Linked DNA regions of Neodiprion lecontei. The protein of the gene in region 3 purifies or fractionates together with the protein of the main gene of each other region. This does not show direct contact. Links are inferred from orthologs where the notes say so. Each region holds a gene or a part of one and is shown on either strand. Other genes may lie near its edges.

The links.
Region 1: the proteins of beta-TrCP (region 3) and protein expanded-like purify together in Drosophila melanogaster (affinity purification with western blotting; 4 studies listed by BioGRID, with this or other methods). This does not show direct contact. The link is inferred for Neodiprion lecontei from reciprocal best matches to the Drosophila melanogaster genes slmb and ex.
Region 2: the proteins of beta-TrCP (region 3) and cullin-1 purify together in Drosophila melanogaster (affinity purification with western blotting; 4 studies listed by BioGRID, with this or other methods). This does not show direct contact. The link is inferred for Neodiprion lecontei from reciprocal best matches to the Drosophila melanogaster genes slmb and Cul1.

What each region holds. Positions count from the first base shown.
Region 1 is NC_060262.1:19,123,691-19,130,348, forward strand, and holds the start of protein expanded-like, read left to right. Parts: upstream 1-2,849; 5' UTR 2,850-3,451; coding exon of another isoform or gene 3,452-3,478; intron 3,479-6,658. UniProt on the Drosophila melanogaster protein: Activates the Hippo/SWH (Sav/Wts/Hpo) signaling pathway, a signaling pathway that plays a pivotal role in organ size control and tumor suppression by restricting proliferation and promoting apoptosis.
Region 2 is NC_060263.1:15,794,801-15,804,442, reverse strand, and holds cullin-1, read left to right. Parts: upstream 1-2,833; 5' UTR 2,834-3,520; intron 3,521-3,681; exon of another isoform or gene 3,682-3,929; intron 3,930-4,461; 5' UTR 4,462-4,520; coding exon 4,521-4,684; intron 4,685-4,830; coding exon 4,831-4,993; intron 4,994-5,080; coding exon 5,081-5,299; intron 5,300-5,368; coding exon 5,369-5,623; intron 5,624-5,702; coding exon 5,703-5,996; intron 5,997-6,232; coding exon 6,233-6,526; intron 6,527-6,628; coding exon 6,629-6,808; intron 6,809-6,892; coding exon 6,893-7,042; intron 7,043-7,123; coding exon 7,124-7,242; intron 7,243-7,343; coding exon 7,344-7,464; intron 7,465-7,558; coding exon 7,559-7,665; intron 7,666-7,789; coding exon 7,790-8,009; intron 8,010-8,123; coding exon 8,124-8,204; 3' UTR 8,205-8,505; downstream 8,506-9,642. Other genes in the region: alpha-1,3-mannosyl-glycoprotein 2-beta-N-acetylglucosaminyltransferase, read right to left, coding at 21-159, 245-478, 791-891, 967-1,072, 1,176-1,280. UniProt on the Drosophila melanogaster protein: Core component of multiple SCF (SKP1-CUL1-F-box protein) E3 ubiquitin-protein ligase complexes which mediate the ubiquitination of proteins involved in cell cycle progression, signal transduction and transcription.
Region 3 is NC_060265.1:30,824,468-30,831,140, forward strand, and holds the start of beta-TrCP, read left to right. Parts: upstream 1-2,294; 5' UTR 2,295-2,461; coding exon 2,462-2,515; intron 2,516-6,673. Other genes in the region: acylpyruvase FAHD1, mitochondrial, read right to left, coding at 247-322, 592-620.

The sequences.
Region 1 (6,658 bases), on a different chromosome or scaffold from region 3:
GATTTTGAAAGTAGTGAAAGCGATTCTTAACTTTTCAAGCAGTTTAATCATAATTCGAATTTGTTTCGAACTTGTTTCAACCTAACTTCAAGGAGTTTCTAACGACGTCTAAGAGATTTTAAGCGATTTCAAGTGGTTTCAAAATGATTACAAACTTGACGGTTTGAAAATAATTTCGAACCAATTATAAGTGGCTTCCAAGCAATTGCAATCAAAAAAGACTTGCGTTTTTAACGAGTCAATATCCGCGCCATTTTAGTACTGTTTGTAGATAAGTTTGGAATAGACGCCTGTTTACAATGTTGTTTGTATGAGAACATTCATAACGAGTTGCTGTGATTTTGCTACGAAATGGTATCTCTGGTTAAGAGGGGTCAAAAGCCTCTGTTTCCGGATTTTCAAATTATTCTTTCAGAAATCTTTTTACAATCAATAGTGTATTCTATTTTCGATCAAATTTCATGACGCATCTACAGCAGTTACGATAAATCAGAGAGAATCTGGATTTTTTTAATCAAAAACACTGATGTAACTACGGTAATTCGGAAAAATATTCCGGCCAGCAAAAATTGTGCTGATACCACAAGAAAAACTTGGTTGCTTCTGTCATGACAAAGTTTCGTAAAACACGAAACTGTTGTCGGAATTCTCCATCATGCAGGTGCGTATCCAAACAAAATTCTTGCATCATTGTTATTGTTCACTGTGTTTATTTTTCATCACCTCGTATGATGGTGATATAAGAAAACGATTAAACATTAAGCTGAGGAACGAGAAGATCATTATTTTCACGAAGAAACGGAAGTTTAATGACAAGAGGATTCGATATGTATATGTGGTTTAGTTGCACCCTATAACATCACCGAAGGTGAAGTCGTGTAGGAAATAAAGGGCATAGCCGGATAAGCAGGTCGAATCGGCCCCCGCTGAATTTTTTGTCGGTACTTCAGGGATCAATTTGGACCCAAATGAAAATAATTCAGTGAAAATTTCAGCTATTAATCTTAAACGGTTTCCGAGTAATTGAAAAAAAACCTATTTTTTAGTATTTATTTTTTTTTTAATAGTAAAATTAAAAATTTTTTTTTGCTGATTTTTTTTTAAATACTTACGAGTAAAAGCTGTGAAAAAATTTTTTTTTCTGATTTCTAGACTAATAGCCGATTTTTAAACTAAAAAACAAAATTACAATTATTTTTTTTTATGCCTATTTTAAAACATGCAATCACCAAATTTGGACAGAATACGTCTTTTATACCCCTCTGTACTCAGGAATTTTAAAAATTTTTTTGGTTTGGTGCAACGTCATGAAAAAAATTAAAAACCAATTTTTTGTTAATTATTTTATATTTCAACTGCTTAGAACACTACTTACAACTAATTATAAAATGTATTTATTCATAAAAATATTCATCAAAAACGTAAGTGGTCATCAAAATATTTGTTAATATTTTCGTCAATCTTCATCACTGTCTTCATTAATAACTACACAGCGCCCGGTATTATTGAAAATGCGACGAAAAAATTAAAAAAATTCCTGAGTACAGAGGGGTATAAAAGACGTATTCTGTCCAAATTTGGTGATTGCATGTTTTAAAATAGGCATAAAAAAAAATAATTGTAATTTTGTTTTTTAGTTTAAAAATCGGCTATTAGTCTAGAAATCAGAAAAAAAATTTTTTCACAGCTTTTACTCGTAAGTATTTAAAAAAAAATCAGCAAAAAAAAATTTTTAATTTTACTATTAAAAAAAAAATTTAAGATTAATAGCTGAAATTTTCACTGAATTATTTTCATTTGGGTCCAAATTGATCCCTGAAGTACCGATAAAAAATTCAGCGGGGGCCGATTCGACCTGCTTATCCGGCTATGCCCTTTTTATTTAAAAGTATGGGATTTATTAGCTACTAAACCAAATAAAACAAACCATATGCTTGATGGTATTTAACGTGTGTACTTGATTGTACAGTTTGTCAATTAGTCTTGTCGCACCCTTCGTACAAGTTTTTGGGTAATTTCAAGTTTCAAATATCACGCTGAAAACATTCGACTCATCTCTTGTTAGACTCGAATAATGAATAACAATTAATTCAACATTTTGTGACACGGATTTATTTTCGTTGATTTCAATTTCTGGGACGCAGAGTCCGACTAAATTAACAGATAAACTGTTACTTACCTAATCGAATAGTACCTAGTACCCAGTACCTGATCGAATTGTTGCCTCGTGAAAAAAAAAAAAAAATTAATGAAAAACACTGTTTTTATCACAGGAGTGTCCGAATAGTGGTCAAAGAGATGACAATCGAATCCAAATATTCGAACAACTAGAATAATAGTTCAAATTATTCGGTAGTTTGACAATTTAGTGCCCTTAGGTACGGCTTATTGTTAGTGCCATTTCACACTATACTCGACAATAGCTAGCAGGAGTAGGTCAATCGCTATTCTTCCATCATTAGTTAAGGTACCCAGTACGAAATGAAAATCGAATGATTCAAATTGACCTAAATAATTCGAAAAATTCGAATCGCACGTAGAATTCAAAATATTCGATCAATGATTTTGACTTGTTCGCTTACTCCTAGTTTCCACCGCTTGTTAATTTTTTTTTTTCCCTCAATATCGTGTAGCACGATACCGTGGTTCCTCTCGATGCGAAGAGAATGCCTAACAGGTATGCATGGGAGAATGAAATTAGTTGGCGGATCGGTCGCGCGGCGGCGCTGACGAAGGGGGCGCTTGACCGCCGAGGTTAGGTTAGTTAGGCGCGCACCTCGCGGCGACTGGCGAGCCCGAACCTGGAGGAATCGGCGTGTGCCGAATGCCAACAGTCACCCGCCGACTGCCGGTACCGCTGGTCGGTTTTTGTCGCAAGTCAGTTCAGAGCAGCGATCTCTGTGCACGCTTGCGGCGTCTTTGCACTTGGCATTCGTCAGCGAGCCGCTAAACGGGGTTGGTGATAAACTGGTGCTCGAGGTGGTGCAGTGAGAATGGTGAATGCGTATCCCAGAATGTGAACAATTATTTCGGCGGCAAATTATAGTCGCGGAAGCGTGTTCTGCCCGTAAGTGCATCGGAAGTCGAGTGAGTGCCCGCGATTCTACGAGCACAGTCGATAAGATAGATAGATAGATAGATAGATACTCGAGATAGACGTCGTTTACGAGTTTCTCTCACTTTTTCTATCTTTCTATCTCTCTCTCTTTCTCTATCCCCCTCTCTCTCTCTCTTTCCTTCTCTCTCTCTCTCTTTCTCTCTCTCTCTCTCGCTCTCTTTCTTTCTCGTTTCCCGCGGTGTGCTGTGTGTACGTAAGAAACGCACGAGTGTTGAGTTTACCGCCGCGATCATCTGTCGCGCGCGTACCGACCGGTACGCGTATGCACGATTATTGTTGTGTACAGTTGGATTACTCAAAACCGATGGCATTTGGGATGCCGCCTCTGGCTGGATGAACGTCTCGGCCCCCGGCGGAGAGGTGAGTTTGTCAATTAGTCAGTCAGTCAGTCAGTCAGTCGGATATTGGTTCGCCGGTCGCTCACGTGTTAATTTCCAAATCGAAAATACTTGTTATTCTTCTCCCTCCACGCGGCGGTTGCAGCATAGGCCGCGTGCGCTTCAGAGTCTTTCTCCTTTCCGAGAGAATCCCGGCAGCTCAACGCACCGCGTCAGCATTACGCCGTTTAGTTGGATTATCAGATTCCACCGACTCGTATCGGAGTCGCCTTGACGGCGGCTCGCTCAACGATCATTCGACTAGATTGTCTGAATCAAAAGTTGGGAAGAGAAAAAGAACAGTTTGAAAAATCACCGGCAGTCTTATTTTTCGCCAATACCTGAAAGTGGGCACGAAAAGGTTTCAAAATAATTGAATTATGGTGTTTTTTTTTTTTTTTTCAAATCCCTTTCCAATATTTTTTGACTCTGAAGACTTTTTTCATAAATTTCACATTGTATCATAGTCATAACGACAAAATATTATTGTTTTCGAATACATATCTGTTATACCGTGCTGATAATTCAATTTTAACCACTTTGGAGGTAACTATTTGTAAAATTTCATCCAAGCGAGCTCTGAAGATGAATAAAATAAACTTAAAAACATAAGAATCATATTGATAAATCCTTTTCTCCAATTGATGGTATCTTGGCTTGCGCTATTCATGTGTTCAGATTCATTTCCCTCATATAGTAGGGATGTCGTATCGTTTTTGTTCTCTGTCATCCGTGCAAATAACGTTCCTGAAGATTCTTCGGATGACTTTATCTCTTTTTCCTACAACTGTTCATTCACCTTCAATGTCTAAAGATAAAGATAAAGAATAAAGATCGATGGAGACTGCGAGTTATGAGTATTTATTTTGAAGTAGGCGAAATGGCGCGGAGGTAATAACAGTGTCCTACACCTACCGACTCGTTTACAGGATGAAAATGTTGATCGAGTCGGTAATGGTAGGAAGCTTCTGTACCGAAGCTCGCCACTCGTCGTTCGACAAGCTGCAGCGAGCTTTAAATGTCTGACTTTAACAATCTGTCTTATACAAATTGTTGGATGGTAAAAATAAATTCTATTCAACCGTGTTCCGTTCAAGCGTAATACCCAAGTGTAGTATCGCCTTAATAATAAATACGCACAATCCTCTGTCTTTTCACGTCGAGCTTCGACATTGTCATTCGGAATCAGTACAATAGGTACTTGCAGCGTACGACACTGAATCATGAATGGTGTTCGTGATAATAATCGTCGAGCAAGAAGCATGCACGCTTTCAGATGTCGTTACATTTAATTAAAATCATTTATTCACCTTCGCGTAACGTGAACTGTGACGAGGCGTGAAAGGTCGATGTAACTTCTCTCCTTGCCCTCCTCCTCCTCCTTCTTCACAGCTGCGGAACTAAACGAAAACCATTTCATCATACACGTGATTGTCCTGATAACTTTTGCCTCATCTTGCTTAGATCTTGTTATGCGTGACATTAGATCAAACATGATTCTGTGGTACGGTTATATGTATTTGAAAATTTAGGATCCTTACGGAAAATTTGTCAACTTTTCGTTCGGAATAAATGTTTTTATTGGGAAGGCCTCAAAAGCGATTTTATCCTGTTAAATATTTCTTCACGCGTTAACCTTGCGTGGTTCAATTTCATGTGTTATTTTTACTGGTATATAAATCGTGTTCAGAAACATTTCCAATACTGCGGAGTAAAATTGCATAATCATTTTAATTATTTACATATTCCACGGAATTCCTAAACGGATTCTTTTACTAAATGCTCACTGTCCTAGATCGTGTTCTGAGAATTATTTGTACGTATATTTACTCGCATAGCCGACCTGCTTGCGTGTTTCGTCCTTCTTTGTCTCTCGCAAAGATATACGACCATGCAGTTTCGTGACAGTAATTGTTTGAAGCGAAAATTAGACCAGCTGCTTAATTCTGTTGGTTTCTTTTTTTGTTGTTTGTTACGTATTAGCAATTAAGAGTCTGAAAGTTCAGGGAGAAGAGAACCGCTTAAAAAATGTTCAGTAATGTTATTTGCGCCACTGATAATGATGACGAATGAAACAACAACCCTCTTATGCAATAGAAATGAATATAAGCGAATTCGAACAATGAGACTGAAGTTAGCAACGTTAATGTAACGGAACATCCGGGAAAAAGTCATTATTGCGGAATTTTAGAACGAGTCTCAAGGAGTCGGCTTTTCAAAATAAGTGTTATGTTTATCGTAGTTTACTAAATTCAAGACATTCCTGAAGGCGCGAACTAACGAGTTTTCCTGTTGTTGATTCGATTCTAGCGTTTTCGGACTCATTTCACTGGAAGACATCACGAATTGTCTGAAATTTTTTGGACAAATATTGCATTGTAACATGTTGTACGGGTAAATGTAATAGTTGACAAACATCTGTCGGAATATACAGTTTGTACAAATTTATTTTCATCCAGTTTGGAGATAAGTATTTTGTTTTTTGATTTTAGGTGATTTTTGGACATCGCTATGATTGAAAAATTTAGCCCGGAACTATTAAAATCGGATAAAAAATACCAGAGTTGAATCAGTTTGAACGTTAACGTTATGAAACCTTTTCTCAAACAGCTAATTTTGCTTTGCTATATTGGAAATTGCTCGGATTCATTAATATTGTTGGATATTTTTTTTTTACGCTTACCAACTTTTGATTCACTGAGTCCAGCTCGTTGATTGTTTGCTGTTTTGTGATCCTGCAAAGTTTTGCTACTATATTTTTCGATTGTGGTAAAAAATGAAAATAGTTTAGGACTGAGCGGTAAACGGAACTAAAAATTTCTCTCGGTACAGTTGGTTCTGAATTTGGGATGCAACCTTCATACATGTATAATCCGCGTAACTTAGTCCCTGTGATTAAACGTAATATGGTGATATCCCAGGTATAACAGTACAGAAATGCCTGATTGTAGGCGCAGAACGGTTTCGCGGTCTTAGCTTCGGAGTCAAGTCTGAGTTGAATATTAATGGACGGAGTTAGGCTTTTATTTGGTCCTCGAGTGAAGAGGTATGCGGTAAGCATTTGTATGGTTACGATACTTTACAAACCTTTTTCGCACAGTTGCGGAGCGTCTCCAAGTGTGTTGGAAATTGTATAATAAGTCATTGCGTATCTGTACAACAT
Region 2 (9,642 bases), on a different chromosome or scaffold from region 3:
ATCCAGATTCTTCTCCTTACCTTCAACGATGATCGCGGTCTCAAATCCGAACTCTAAGAAGACTTGATTTAATGCCCAGCCGTAGTGTCGAGCTATCTTGAAATAGCCTTTGAATTTTTTCTCTTTTGGAGGAATGTCTATGTCCGATTGGTCTGGTTGCTTAAAAGACGAAGGAGTTTGATTCAAGTACATTATCGAAAATTCGGGATGGCTGAAGTTTGAGATGGGTAATAAACCAGCTTACTCTTATGTGCGTCAGTTGTTCTCCATAACTTTGAATCACATTCGTAGTCGGTTCGTGTTCGCAGTCCTGGCTGACAATGATCGGAAATTGTTCGGCGCTTGGCCTCAGTCTGATCAGCTGATCGAGACATCTCTTCACAGTAACTCTGTTGCATGAAAATACTAGAACTGCAATCACGGGTTCCTCATTTGTCAGTGATTTTTCTGGTGCAACATGCTGAGCTTCGTCTACCTGCTGAATAGTGAATATAAAGTCGTTTGAAAACTAGGAAATGAAGGGTGAAGAGGGGAAACAGCTATATTTCATCGCTCGTTGAAAATGATATAGCGATACCATTATTATTGCATTAAAGAGTACTTTCCGAAAATACCACTGTTGGATGAGAAATTCAGTATTACACCTCGAAAAACCTGCCAGTAGAATCGATACCGAATGTACTCTTACGGAAAAGGAAACATTCATTTCCATTTTTCTTGATATCAGAATGAGTGGACTATAGCAGTTTTTCCCCTGGACCCTTCAAATGTCTTACGACAAAAAACTCACTATTTTCAAATCCTCTTCGGCGGCTTCTAGTTTGTCTCGTTCGGCGTTTTGCGCCTCTTCTGCATTCTTCACGACAGTAGACTCCGCGTTTTCTGCTTCGTCTGAAAATCACGAACGTCAATAAATCGATGGAGCTTCAATTGACCGTAATAATTCCAATTCAAAATGAGGCTTACTCTGATCCTGTAATTTACCACGAAGATGTTGAATGAGTTTTTTATTCTCCGCAAATTGCTCTTTCACTCTTTCTTCGATATCACGAATTTTCGCTGCGATGTTGCCCTGTAATTTTGGAGTTGGGAATAATTTTTAGTCATCAATATCAGGGGTGTATTTCCAGAGTTTCATTATCAATTCGTGCACGGAATCAACACTTGATATTCACCTTATTTTGTTCTTTGCCGATTGGACGATCAAGAAATAGAAAGTAAGTTATGACACCCCATACGCAGAGAGATGCGAATATGAAGCTGATTGATTTTTTCCGCATGGCACCACCGAACGTCACCTCATCTGCGAATGTATTTCATTAACACATTATATATGTATATGTATAATTTGTGATGATGGATGTATCACTGTCGAGATATCAAAAGGTTATCAATTCTGTGATTAACTGTGACAAAAAAATCGAATGGAGGATAATGTGAATGTTAAATATTTCCGTGTTCATAGAGCATTATCATTCATTATCAGACTACATTCGGTTTGTGATGTTTATTCCCATTCAGTGATAAGAACTTATCCAATGCAGATACTCATCTCAAGCTTGTGAAATTATGACATAAAATATCATTCCTCCGGAAATTGTTAGGCTCGATTAAAATTTTGTTACGATCGATTTCACGTTTAGCAAATTCGCACACAATATCAGGTAAAAAATGCTCTCTGTCAAAAAGAATTTTTTAACTGTGTCCGGACAATTGTTATTGCTTATTACCTTTGGTGTTTACGTTTCAGATGTTTTTTCTTTTCAAATTTTTCTATCGGAGTAGCAGAAATTAAGGGACGAGTGACTTTCCAAAACTTTGAGGAAAATTCGTAATAGCGAAACCACGTCTACAGATACGTTATCCGAGAACAGCTCTTTGACGGCTTAGTGCCACGTTTATCTTCTCGACAAATGATTATTATTTGTACAAGTGCTAGGTAAACTAACCAATACATAGACTGGAATTAAGTCAAGATATATTTACCGTATTTCTGTATTCAGCTGACATTAATCGGCATTTAATACTGTCACAATATAAGCCAGTAATAATTATCCTAATAACGATTAATCTTCACATTATTTATCCCGTTTTTGTTCAGACACGACTGGTGAAGTACGTAACGCGTGTCGACGACAGCAGGCTGCAGCTTTGCTTAGCGCAATGTCAGGTTCTGTCATTACAGCATGTTGTCATTCGATGCTATGATTGCTCTCTCCTTTTCGCTTTGACTTCATTAGCCTCACTGACAAGCTCGAAGCTATCCAAAATACTTATTCGATTTTTTCCTCCCCAATTCTCGGCGAGAGATTAAGTTTGCTCAGTTTTTTTACCAGTAGTTTATTTTTCTTTCTCCTGCCTCCCGCCCCGCACCAACGCGACCGTGAATGATCAGTTTGTGTGGATGTTTATTTGCCCTTGTATGTGCATAATAAATGATTCGTTACTTGGTCACTGGACATTGAGAAGCGGATTATTCAGCATGAATGCAATGAGGGGAGAAATTGCCGACGGCAATTACTGATACAGGGTCTGTGAGTGCATATATGGTGCATATGGTGCGTTTAAGTTTAGAGAAGTGTGTTAGCCTATGCATGCATAACACACAAGCAGAGGTTCAGCGCATGCACAAGTATCGAACACCGAGTTACGACTTTTGATTATCTACGACCAGGCTGAAGTTATCGAGAGAGCTCAGCTCAGTCGGCCAAGAAGAGTGACTCATAATTCGAGAACTTTCCGCATGCGCTGCGTTCGACCTTGTTAGACAACATGGTGGAACGGATCACGCGATGACGTAGGTGAATGCAAATGAACATTTAGGCGAATATTCTTCCGAGTTAACGTAGTTGAGAACAGGTCGAAACCGCTGTGCTACAAATTGTCCGTTTGCGTTTTTATCCTGAGGTTTCGCGTTTATTTATAATGACGGTATGCAGTTCGCAGCCGATACAAAGAAAATTGAGTAATTATATAAGATCGATTGAAAATTTTGCGCCATCATTATCGTCATTATAATTGGGTAGCCACCAGAGTCGCGCAAGTTCGGCGTCTTGAACGATAAATACTGAATACAGAACACATAATAATTAGTGGGTAAAAGTGAATAACTGGAAGTCGAACGCGCGTCGAATAGTCCGATGACCGCAGTCACCCTCGATCGAAAACAACGAACGGCCAGCTCAACGCCAGCCGAGGATATCCCAAGCTCTCTGTCCCAAGGATAATCTAGTGATCTCAGATTCTCTGTAGCGAGCCGAGAGTCTTGAAGTTGGCTGCAGTGTGACTTAACCTGTCAGAAAACGGAGAAAAGCACGGAGCACACTCAGTATCATAACCGACTTGTTAACCCACACGTACTGCGTATTCGTTCAGACAGATATTCAATCCTCTTTCGTGTATACATATATAGTGGTTCAAATTCTCGTCCGTGCTTTCCAACCAGACGCACCAAATCCACGATATTTCGCTTTTCAACGCAAGGCTCACATATTGTTATGCGGTGGTGACTTAGCGCCAGGTGAGTAAACCTTCCTTGTCTCCGAGATAAGATTTCTAGTTTGAGAAAGAGAGGAAGAAAAAAAAATGTTGTTTCCTTCGTTTCAAATGGCATTGAGGAGAGACAATGGGACCTTTCGCGTAGGTTCTTACGTTTCGTTCTATCGACCGAATCCACTTCTTGCTTTGTATTTTTCGCAAAAATTTTACCAAGCGTAGTATCAATTTCTTAGTTCTTTTTGTTTTCTTCTTCACTTCTCGCATTATTCTTTCACCGTTTCTTTCTATCGCATAATCGGGTTACCCCAGTTACCATTTGCTCGCTAACGGAATTAACCCCCTTCTGTCACCATTGCTCTGCATTTTATGTTCGGATTCACATTTCCGTTAACGAGTTAATCCGCGTTTCGGTCACACTACAGTATCTTCTGGTAAATATTAGCAGAACCGTTGATTGGTCTGATAGTCTTCGAATTTTGGATTCCAATCTAAACATATAACTAGGCTTTTATTTGCTACACACAGCCGATTTGGAGCTGTAACATTTTTAAAAACGATTCTCAAACCTCTAAGACGTATATTTCAACAAAAATATTAACGAATGAATTACATGACAAGAAAGAACCCTCAAACAAAGAAGATTGTTTGAGATATTAAGATTGGCACAACAAAACTCTTCTCCCACATTTCACACGTCAATCGTATCTATGTATGCGCATCTTATCTGCGGATAACCAGTCCCTCGTTCATCTGGAATCTATTGTATTTATTTGAAACAGCGTGTTCAGAAATCTAGATAAGCCCTCTGCGGCTGGAATACATAATTTTACCACAAATAATAGCACCAACATAACATCTTTCTTTGTATTGCCGTGCGATTTTTATCTCCATCAAATTATTAGTATCGCCAGTCACAGTTGAGTATTACAAAAGAACGTGTGGCATTTCTTATTTCATTTCCAGAGTTATTCAAGTAGCAGGTAATTAGAGTGAGGCTGGTCAGACATTAATTTGGGAATAAAATGTCTGGACACAGAAGTACCGGTGGCACCGGAAGCCATCCTACTGGTCCTCAGGGTCTCAAGCAAATAGATCTCGACCAGATTTGGGGCGACCTGAGAGAAGGCATCGAGCAGGTTTACAACCGGCAATGCATGCCCAAGCCAAGATACATGGAGCTCTATACGTATCCTTAGATATCAACAATTGACTTGAAAGACATATTTCAAAATGTTTTTGACACTCAGCTTGTGATACCTAAAAAAGAATCTATCAAAAATTTTACATAATGTATTTTATGCTTAACTGTAAAACTGATGTGAAAAAACACAGACACGTGTATAACTATTGCACGAGTGTACATCAGCAGTTGAACAACAGGACGTCGATGAAAAGTAAGAAGGGTCAAATATCGGGCGGCGCTCAGTTAGTTGGGCTGGAATTGTACAAACGTTTGCGAGACTTTCTGCGGAATTATCTCATCAGTTTACTGAAGGTGCGAGACGCCGATTAGTTATCCTTATCCAGTTTTCTCTTGCTCTATTCTTGCGATATTCAATGCCTGATTTCAATCCTCGTTTAGCATGGAGTCGACCTGATGGATGAGGATGTGCTGAAGTTTTACACTCGACAATGGGACGAGTATCAATTCAGCAGCAAAGTCCTGAACGGGGTCTGTGCGTATTTAAACCGTCACTGGGTGAGGCGAGAGTGCGAGGAAGGTCGAAAAGGAATTTGTGAGATCTATCAGCTGGCGTTGGTCACATGGAGGGATAATTTATTCAAACATTTGAACAAGCAGGTAAAACAAATGAGGTGAATCAGCGTATTTTCGATGTCAAATTACCCACTTTTCTCCACTACTTATCAGGTAACCAACGCGGTGCTCAAACTTATAGAACGAGAGAGAAACGGTGAGACTATAAACACAAGTCTTGTCAGCGGAGTGATTAATTGCTATGTTGAGCTGGGTCTAAATGAGGAGGATCCGGGCGCCAAAGGGCAGAATTTGTCCGTCTACAAGGACTCGTTTGAGAATGTTTTTCTTGATGACACTGAACGCTTTTATACACGCGAAAGCACTGAATTCCTACGACATAATCCTGTCACAGAGTATATGAAGAAGGTGTTTGACGAACATATAGCGAAACTAACGCCAAGAAGAAGGAGTGGGATGTTCATACAAATATTTTCGTTTTTCACAGGCTGAGCAGAGGCTCCTGGAGGAAGAGAAAAGAGTCAGGGTGTATTTGCACCAGACGACACATGAGCGTCTAGCAAAAACCTGCGAAAAGGTCCTCATCGAGAAACATTTGGACATATTTCATGCAGAATTCCAAAATCTTTTGGACGCTGATAAAAATGTCGATTTGGGTCGAATGTACATGCTTGTCGCCAGGATACCGAATGGTCTTGGGGAGCTTCGCAATCTTCTCGAAAGTCACATAGCTAGTCAGGGATTAGCTGCTATCGACAAGTGCGGCGACTTTGCGGTTAACGTATGTAAATTTACCGATCAAACTTTAATAACTGCACGAAATTAGCCATCAAGTTTCGGGTCTTTCGATAGGAAAATGTTTGATGAACGAGTGTTGCTATTTGTCTCTTTCTTAGAAGCGACTTACGATTACCTGGATTTATATTGCAAGAAAGAAAAAGAAAACAAATATTGAGAGAATCATGAAACTGAGCTTATTAATCATTACTATGTACGGTTATGGAAATTATTTTTCAGAACTTTATACTTACCATGTTGTTAGTGCAGGATCCTAAAATATATGTGAGCACTATCTTGGAAGTTCACAAGAAGTATAATGCGCTGGTATTGGTTGCGTTTAATAATGATAGTGGATTTGTCGCTGCTCTGGACAAAGCTTGCGGACGGTTCATTAACAGCAACTCTATTACACGAGCTGCTAATAGCAGTAGCAAATCGCCAGAACTCTTGGCCAAGTACTGCGACCTTTTACTCAAGAAGAGCAGTAAGAATCCGGAAGAGGCAGAGCTCGAAGATACACTTAATCAAGTTGTAAGTTTTATCTAACTAATAGCAAAGTGTAACATCATCTAACTCGCGATCTTATCATCAAATGAAACAGCGAGGTTAAAATAATGTTCTTTCTTCGTGTAGATGGTAGTTTTCAAATATATCGAAGACAAAGATGTATTCCAAAAATTCTACAGTAAAATGCTTGCCAAACGGCTCGTGCAGCACATGTCTGCCAGCGACGACGCTGAAGCGTCAATGATTTCAAAGCTGAAACAAGCTTGCGGATTCGAATACACTTCTAAACTACAGCGCATGTTCCAGGTATCTATACGTAATCACGTTGACAGATTATATTCCACTTTTTACTATTTTACCTTGTTTTATTGAAAATTTATCGTCCTGTAGGATATCGGAGTGTCGAAAGACTTGAACGAACAATTTCGAAGGCATTTGATAAATTCTACGGAACTTCTGGACATCGATTTTAGTATACAGGTGCTGTCGTCCGGTTCCTGGCCGTTCCAGCAATCTTTTACATTTTCTCTACCCACAGAGGTACTAGTTCTTTTTGCATACTTAGGTAATAATGTACGTGTCCCGAACAATCTATGCAACGCATTTGGTTTTGTTTCGCAGCTGGAAAGATCTGTGCACAGGTTTACCACTTTCTATAGTTCTCAGCACAGTGGGAGAAAATTGAATTGGTTGTACAACATGTCCAAAGGGGAATTGCACACAAACTGTTTTAAGAACAGGTGAAAATTTATTGTTAATCTCTTGCATCGCTGGCTTTGTTTTTTCTTTTTCTTTTTTATAATAATTCTCAATCTCTGCTAATTTCGTTTTTTATTTACAGGTATACTCTGCAAGCTTCGACCTTCCAAATGGCGGTTCTATTGCAGTATAATGTGGCTACACTTTGGACCATGCAACAACTTCATGACGCAACGCAAATCAAAATGGATTTTCTTGTGCAGGTCCTTAACGTCATAGATTTTTTTAAATAAATTTCCTGACTTATCGTGCTTTGCTCCATCTTTTTAATTGCTTTATTTCTTATTTGTAACACAGGTTATACAGATTTTGTTGAAAGCGAAGCTTTTAACTGTCCCTGCACACGAAGATGAAACTAATTTAACTCCATCGTCAACCATCGAACTATTTGCAGCATATAAAAAGTGAGTGAATACATTTCTCCTTCACCTTATTGTCCAGAATTCGTAAATCTCGTACTTTTTCACATGTAAAACTTGAAGGCTTAGAACTCATTATTGACCAACTATCGAATAATTTTAATTGCAGCAAAAAATTAAGGGTAAATATCAACATACCAATGAAGACGGAATTGAAGGTTGAACAGGAAACGACCCACAAGCACATAGAAGAAGATCGCAAGCTGTTAATTCAAGCCGCGATTGTAAGAATTATGAAAATGCGTAAGATCCTAAAGCACCAGCAACTCGTCGCCGAAGTACTAAACCAGCTCAGTGCGAGATTCAAACCGAGGGTGCACGTTATTAAGGTGAGGGTTAAGTTGATTTCAAGGATTTGTAAATTTTCAATATACAATCTTCTTTGACGGATGTACACAGCTTATCATCTTCTCGCTCATTTCTTTGATTTCTCTCATTCGCAGAAATGTATAGACATTTTAATAGAAAAGGAATATCTAGAACGTACGGAAGGACAAAAGGATACGTACAGTTACCTGGCATGATCTGCCTAAGTGAGACAACAAAGTAGCAGCTGTTTAAAACAGGAGAAACAACTTCTGCCGTACGCATCTGTCATTGTTGCTGCTGCTGTTGTATCTACGTTACAATATTTATTATTTACGTCGCACACAAAGTTCTTGTATACAACATAAGCCCCCTCCCCTCCTTTCGGCCCTGTATGAAATAATTGTCCGACCGATCGCATTTAGCAAAAATGAAGAAAAAGAAGGAAGAGAGAAAAAAAGAAAGAAACATGGATTTTATAAAATATTATTAATAAATTTCTTTCATAGTTCAAATTTATTCGGTTATAAACGTAATTTGCAACTAATGACAGCCGGAGAACAAACCTTGTGGTTTAAAATTAAATGAACAATTTAAGTACCAATTATCGATTTGTATTGTTTATGGAAGAAGGAGCAAATGCAATTTTGCTTCTACGTTAAATTTTATGATTGTTTGCTCGTGTCGTAATCTTCGAGACACGCGTGATTTTTTTTCCTATGTATTCAGTATTTTTTTATATTTTATTAGATGCGTACACCTGTTAAATTAACTAGCTGAACAGACTCGAAACGCATCTTCTATCTATAGATAATTTTGATAAATACTTGCATCATATCGGGCACCTGTTTTTTTTCTCGTTTTGTTATCAAACAATCCTTGGTAATTTACGAACAACGTTTTTTATCACTGTTGTTGTAAATTGATTGTAAGCTCGCTGTGCGTTACCGGTTTTCTTTTTTTTTTTTTTTTTTTTTTTTTTCCCACCAAAAGGTAAACATGTGAACTTCTTTGGTTTGAGAAAACTTCATGGATCATATTCAAGATGAAGGATTACAGATATTTTCTTGGCATAATTGTAATTATTTTTTTTTCTGATTTTTATTCTACTTTGTTCTTGATTGATCGATAATTACGTAATGTTAATAAAATATTTTATTGTAGTGTATTCGAATTTTAATAGCCACAAATCCTCCTGTTGTTATTGTGATTTTTTTTTTTCTAATCTTCTAGGGTTGCGCAAAGAAATTTATCTTTATTTTGCGATGGTTTTTCTTTCGTTTCATTATGATCATCGTGTAATGCTTAAGGACCGTAATAAGATTTTTGTGAGGAAGTTGTTGGATTGTAATCGAATTTCGCCTGTTCTGGGGAAATGGAAAGTATTGCAAAATCCAAATGGAAGTCATGCGAGATACGATTTAGAGACGTTTTATCAGATTCTAAACAAGACGGCGATGAAACAGAAAGAGAGAAGAAAGAAAGAAATGTCCTTAGCAAATAAATAAATAAGTACGCACTGATGTTTTATCGTAATTTGCAACCATAATTAAACGATACGCGGTAGTTAGATTCAATTTTTAGGATGATATGTAAGTAGGTAACATAGCAGGTACAATTTGGGTCGTCAATGAAATAATATTTGATTTGATCTAG
Region 3 (6,673 bases):
GTGCAAACTCACCAACGTTGCCGAATATTGGAGAAGTTACTCGGATGTCTCTGCCCAGCTCTGGAAAGAAACAAATAAGAAAACTCGAATTAATTCAAGCAGACTGGATTTTCGGTTCTGAAATTATTTATATTTTTGTTGTCTACTTCCATATATATTCACTGCATGTTAAACAGGGACAGAAATTCGGTTCCAAACATACCACATTTAATTATTAAGCAATTATTAAGATAAGTTAATCCTTACCTCCTCTGGGTTGCTCCTCACTTTACTGCATGTAGGAGTTCTCGTAGTTGAATCGTCAAGCGACGCACTTTTGACACTGCAATCAAAATGTAACCGATTATTACTCACACAATAAAGCTAAATCATATTTCGTATCACTAAATACTGTCTGTTAAAACAATTTTGTTTTCCACGATTATATTTCGGTGGTTTGTGATTTGATAATAACTGAACTGCAGAAACGAATGATAATAGAAGGTTAATCAAATTTTTACATGGTAATAAAGGATTACAGTATCGTCGGACTCCAGGAAAACAATCGGATAAAGATGGAATCGGTGACTCGTAATGGGTAAAAATACTCACCGATAAACACGAGCCGCCGCGCTACACATTGTAGCAGTATTTCCATTCGCTAAAGTTCCGAATTTTAGTTTTTTATGCACAAAAAACAACGGCAGTACGACCTACGCACTAATAAACGCGTTACAATTACATTTTATAAACGTAAAAGGTTGACGTTACTAACGTTATCGTAACGAAACATTGGGAAAAAATCACTTTTTTCTTATTTTTATAATGAGTTTGAAGGAAGTGAGATTGCAAAATGTTGGTATTTTTTATTTCATTACGGTTCACTGAATTTCAAGCACTTCCAAAATCTCAGAATAACGGAATTTCCGCACCACGAATGCTTACCGGTAACGTTACTAACTTCAACATGATACGCGATCCGCGATCCGAAATCCGAGAAACGATCTCGACAGCCACGTTTCGCAACGTCCGTTTTATCAGAACATGGGAAAAATTACCGCAACGGGAGATTATCGTAGCCTTGTCTCGTCAGAAAACGCTTGTGACTTGTCAAAAGTCTGCACGAAAGCACTCTCAATCTGTCCAATAACGTATCTAGAAAACTTTGGAAAGTTATATAAATCACGAATCCACCCCGTAACAACACTTGATCATTCTCACTTTCTGTACTGTAGTACGTATGTTCGTTGGTTGCCTCAACCGACAGGATAAACTCGGTAACAATACAAAACTACGCATTTACCGGTCATCAGCAAACAAACAAAAAAAAATGACGATCGCTAGAAGCTGAAGTTGCACAAAACAATGGAAAGTCGATACACAAAGCGCACCACGCACAAAACTCACGTACAATGTTCATAGGCTGTTTTCATTCAATTAACTCATTTTTTCTTCGAGCCAGACGCTGCCATTCGTGTATTATTCACAAATAAGTTTGGTGGGAACACACTGACCAAATAACATGATCAAGTTTGCCTGAACGGCGTGATTTAAATTCCGAACTGATCGCGCGCGTGGTTTCACTCCGGCTGCTCGGATACGACTGGCACCGATTGGCACAGAGCGATCGGATTTTAAGAGAATTTTCGTATCACACGGAGTCAGACGTAAACTTGGATTTGATGACGACTTTCGACCGAACAGAATATGTGTGAAAATACATTTATAATGAGGAGAAGAAATCGCAAAACATTCTCTTTTCTGAATGTACGAACATAAGATTTAAACTAATTCTAAAATAATGGGCGCTTTGCTTCTGCGTTAATTTTTTAACACAAAACGATACCAAGTGATTTCATTGGCCTATTCTATTAAATCCGATCGATGATATCACTTATTGTCGATCTGTGTCAGGAAATTGATGTAAAAGAAAAGGCCCCCTTTGTTATTGGTAAAGCAAAACAACAAATATGTATGTATACAATTGTTAACGGAAGAATTTAACCCTTGGAAAATTTTCGTGACGATTACTCGGTAGGTAAGTGGTCTTGCCGCCGTACGAAGCCGTGTCAGCGATCCGGTAACTTCTTCATCGGCCGCTCGCGAACAATGCTCACGAGAGACTCCCAGAGTGCCAGCATGTAATACAAGTTCGAGTCGCCATCTATGATCGAGTGTGGATAATTAGTACTAGCTATTTGGTAAATAACCAAGGAATTCAGCGCTGCAGCCAACAAAGAAGTCCGAGTCCACGTAGCCGCGATACGGTGCATAGTTATTTGCGATTTGTTATGTTGGTAAAATTCCGTACATCGACTTCCTGTGCATGGCGAACACCCGAGCAGCGTTGTCCGCGGCTGCGAGTAGTCCAAGAGTGTTGTCGAGTGGGTGTTAAACGTTCGCAGAGCCGTATTGAATCCGTTCAATGTTAAATCGTGAGTTATAGGTAATTAGTTTATCGAGGATACAGTGTGAACCGATAATGATTAACATGGAAACAGACAAAGTAATCGAGGACCCGAACACGTATAGTCAGGTGCGTATCAACCGACCCGTATTTTCCTCCCGAAACAAACGGCCATCTTATGTTTCTTAACCGCGGAGGGAATAGGAAACCGAAACCTGCCTCCCCCTCACTATTTTCACACCATTTTACACAGCGTTTCGCTATATTTAACCTAACTATTTTTTCCCCCGCGTTAACCGCTCGTCCTATCAAATAATCAGTTCCGGAGGTTATGAGACGTCGCTCCGATTCAACGGGATGCATCATCGTCAATTTCCCTCAGCTATCGTGCATACAAGACGTGCACACAAACACACAGTCACACACACACACACACACACACTTGGTCATTTCTATCCCCACATAGGACGCATAAACCAATATCAGTACTAATCCAAGCGGAGTGGACTCGTTAAAAATACAGAACAAACCGACCAAAGTAACGAAGAAAAGAACATTCTTAAAGGCATATTTTATTTTTCTTGCCGTGAATGAAAATATGTTCAAAATAATATTTGAGGTACCAATTCGTAAACTTAGATACCCTATTTTCCGAAATATCACTATTTGACGTTTCTTCCGTGAATATCAAAATTGGTTAATCAAATAACACGAAAAAAAATAATAACAATGTTTTTCATGTTGTACAGAAGAATATGGCAATGATAATAATTAATCTATTCTTTCGACGACCCGCGCAAATTATTACGTACTTTAGGAGATAATTAATTAGTTGTTGATATTACTTTTCACTTTCTTTGTAGGACGAATATTTTCATCAACAATTCATTCTGAACTACATCCGACGAAATACCGTTACGATTTAAATATTTTTCTCTCAACAAGTCGAAAATCATCGTAATAAAGTACCACAAGAAAAATAATAAATGTTTTCGCCATTTTCCTTCCGTACAGATTATTTCCGATTCAAGCGTAAGTCAAAAACAAAGAATCAACGACCTTTGTTGATTACTGCATAGAAAATGAATTTAATCGTCAGTAAACCTCTGCAATATTCTAAAAACAAAGAAACACATTCATCAGTAATTTCCGTCCAGTTATTTTTCTTCACAAACTCTACAAAAGTCACAAAGGTTTCAATCCGTGAGAATGTCGCATTTCGGAAGTACCTCGAACAAGTAACTGTACAAATTCAGCGTTCAATGGGGGAGGTGAGCACCAGCGATGAGAAAGCACAGGGGTCAAAGGGCGCGGGGTCTCCGCATAACACGAAACTGTGTATCGTTTGGCCCCCGTGTCGGTTAGGCGTATATTTATACATATGTACGTAATACGCTACATAGACGTATGTACAAACACAATGTATTACGGTCTCCTCGACGCGTCACCGTTATACCGTACAGTTTACATGTCTCTTATACCTGTGTGCGTATTCGCTTTCTCTCCCTTTCCCTCCTTTTCCCTCCGCTTCTTGAAACAAAGGAAAAGAAGAGGAAGAGGAAGAACGAGGTTCTCCGTCCCGTTTCGTTTCGTTGCCAACGTTGCGCTGGCTTGCTCCGAGAAGAGGGTCAAAGGTGAATACGCAACCGGGGCGAAAAATCCCCTCCCCCATCCCTTCTGTGCCGTTGATCGAATCCACCCCCTCTTTCTTCCTTTCTCCTGCAAAGCGTCGCCACAGCCCCCGAGAGCGGGTTACTACATAATCAATGTTTTAGTCCCCCCCCTTTCACGACCCAACCCGAGCCACCCTCTCGGCAGTCAGTCAGTTCCACTGTTTGTCGGTGTATGTACGTCATGCCGTGCCACGGCCCTCACACCCTTGCAAGTACGTGTGTATGATATGCGTACACAGGGGCGTAAGTAGGCCAGAAATTCGACACCCGATCCGTCGAGCGAACCCTGATCAACGTACGTGATATAACAATGAGAGTCTCAATATCAAAATAACAAAGGTAAAATCGCGGTGGAGTTTAAGAGATTTTTGATTGAATCGACGGTCGTTTCATTTCTATCTGGCTGAAGTTTGTAAAGTTATTGCAATGTTGTGTCTTTAGAAAAAGTCGTTATTTTGCAACTTTAGGATGACTTGATATTTAAGCAACTGTTGATAAAGCATGAACGAACTCTGATTTTGTAAATTCAACTTCTCCAGTTATTCTTAAGGTGCAAAATGGTAATTTTTGTTTCAATCTTCCGATACGGTAACGTTGCTAACCGCAGCGACGTTTATCTTTCTTCAATTTTTTTTATCGCATCGCAAAGGGATGCCGGGTGTGTTTCAATCAAGTTCAAATCGATTGAATTCAGAAAGCATTGCCCTGGTTGCTAAAGCCGGCACGATTACTCTCACCTTAGGATGTGTATTATGTACGGTACGTGTCAAAGTGTTGCAGGTACAATTACTTGATTAATTAATTCATTAATTTCCCTCCTACGTCGTAAAGCCTGTGTTCGCATAATACGTATGTGTATTACGCCACGCGGGTGTATAATTTGTACAACGTGTAATTAATTCTTCGTCACGTTAGACGGCCAGTGCCGCGAAATTTGTTCCACGAAACAGAATCAGGTCTGCTTTGCGTTGGCGGGCTACAGAGTTCGTAGTTTTCCCTGTTGATTAATTATGGACCTTCCTTAACATATATATATTGTTTTGTTTGAAAATTTTCCGCAGGCCTTGACAAGCTTCTGTCTTCCGTGTACTTGACTTGCTTTAATTAACGTGGATCGATAACTAGAAGATCGAAAACAAAGATTACAGTAAGAATAGGAAAAAGAAAAAGAATATTATACGGACGATTCTTACCGCAGCCACGAAATCCAACCTAATCGTTATGTAGCATTAGTTGCAGCAGTCACGGATAGGTATAGCCGATTAATTTCGTTCCAGCAAATGAGAGAGAGTCGATTCCGATTCATGTTTTCGACCAACCGCAGCACAAAACTCGATTTTCTCAATCTAGGCTCGGTTTTGATCGGGCATTGACAAATACGATCCGTACTTACGAAATAATAATCACTAAGAAAAAAATAAAAGAATGACGAAGCTTTGTACGACAAAAGATAATTAAAACCAAAGTATAACGAAACAGTGACCAAACTTCGTATACAAAAGAGCGTATGTACATATTGTACATATAATGAGATTGAGAATTCGGCTCACGCGTAAATCCTATCACTTTGTGTTACGATCCGGTATACACGTTGCTCAGGAACAGTATACCTAGAAACTTTTGACGAACTCTCAAGGTTGCGATTGAATCGCGGTACCTACACCCGAAAGCGACGGATTATTAAGCCCGGAGATGGTCAAGCGAAGGACACGTAAGGTGGTGCTGACTGCTCACCTATTCATCCCGGTGGTTCTTTTTTTTTTTCACCTTTTTACCATACATGTACAACTCTGATTGGTGAAGGTCCTGCGGAAATTTTTTTCTTTTTATTTTTTCTTTTTTTTTCTTATCCATACACTGGGTTACGTAGGTATAAACCCGTCCTTTCATGGTTGCGAATTACGCGCTTCAGGGACACGACGCATCGAAAATAATGATTGTGTACAAAATATTGATACGTGAATATGTAGGTACGGAGGAAGCCTTGAACTCACACATCCGCATCACGGGTCTTTGGTTACTTCCGATTTCCGGTTAAGTACGCGAGGTTATTGAACAACGCGTGTAAAAGAAGCTTGAACCTGCATGTATCGAAATTCGGATCTCTCTGATCTTGCTCCGGTATTTAGAGAGAATTGATACCAGATTGAAGTTTAGTACCTAACGTTGATGTAGGGAATTATCGAAACTGAAACGATTGTTTTGAAAATTTAGCACGGATTTGAAGAAGCTTAATTTACAAAATCTGAATACACTGCTTTTTAAAAATATACTACTCAATGTTGAGACGATCCTACATTTGCGAAATAATGTTTCCTGAAAATAAGTCGTTGTATTAACGATACGAACTTCACTCTCTTGTATTGTTCAAGTCCGAAGAAGTGTTAAATTCACTCGTATGGTGCATTCACACAAAATTTCAGCCGTAATTATCGGTCGGTAGTCACTGTTTGCCTGTCGTCGATTTTTTCCTTTCACGGAACGCAATTGCGCTGGTATATAACTTCATTATTATTATAGTTATTGCGTAAGCGAGTACATCGCCCCGTTTTTTGCCAATCTAATAGATTACAACGATCGATGTTCTCGATATAATGATAATTAAATAACAATA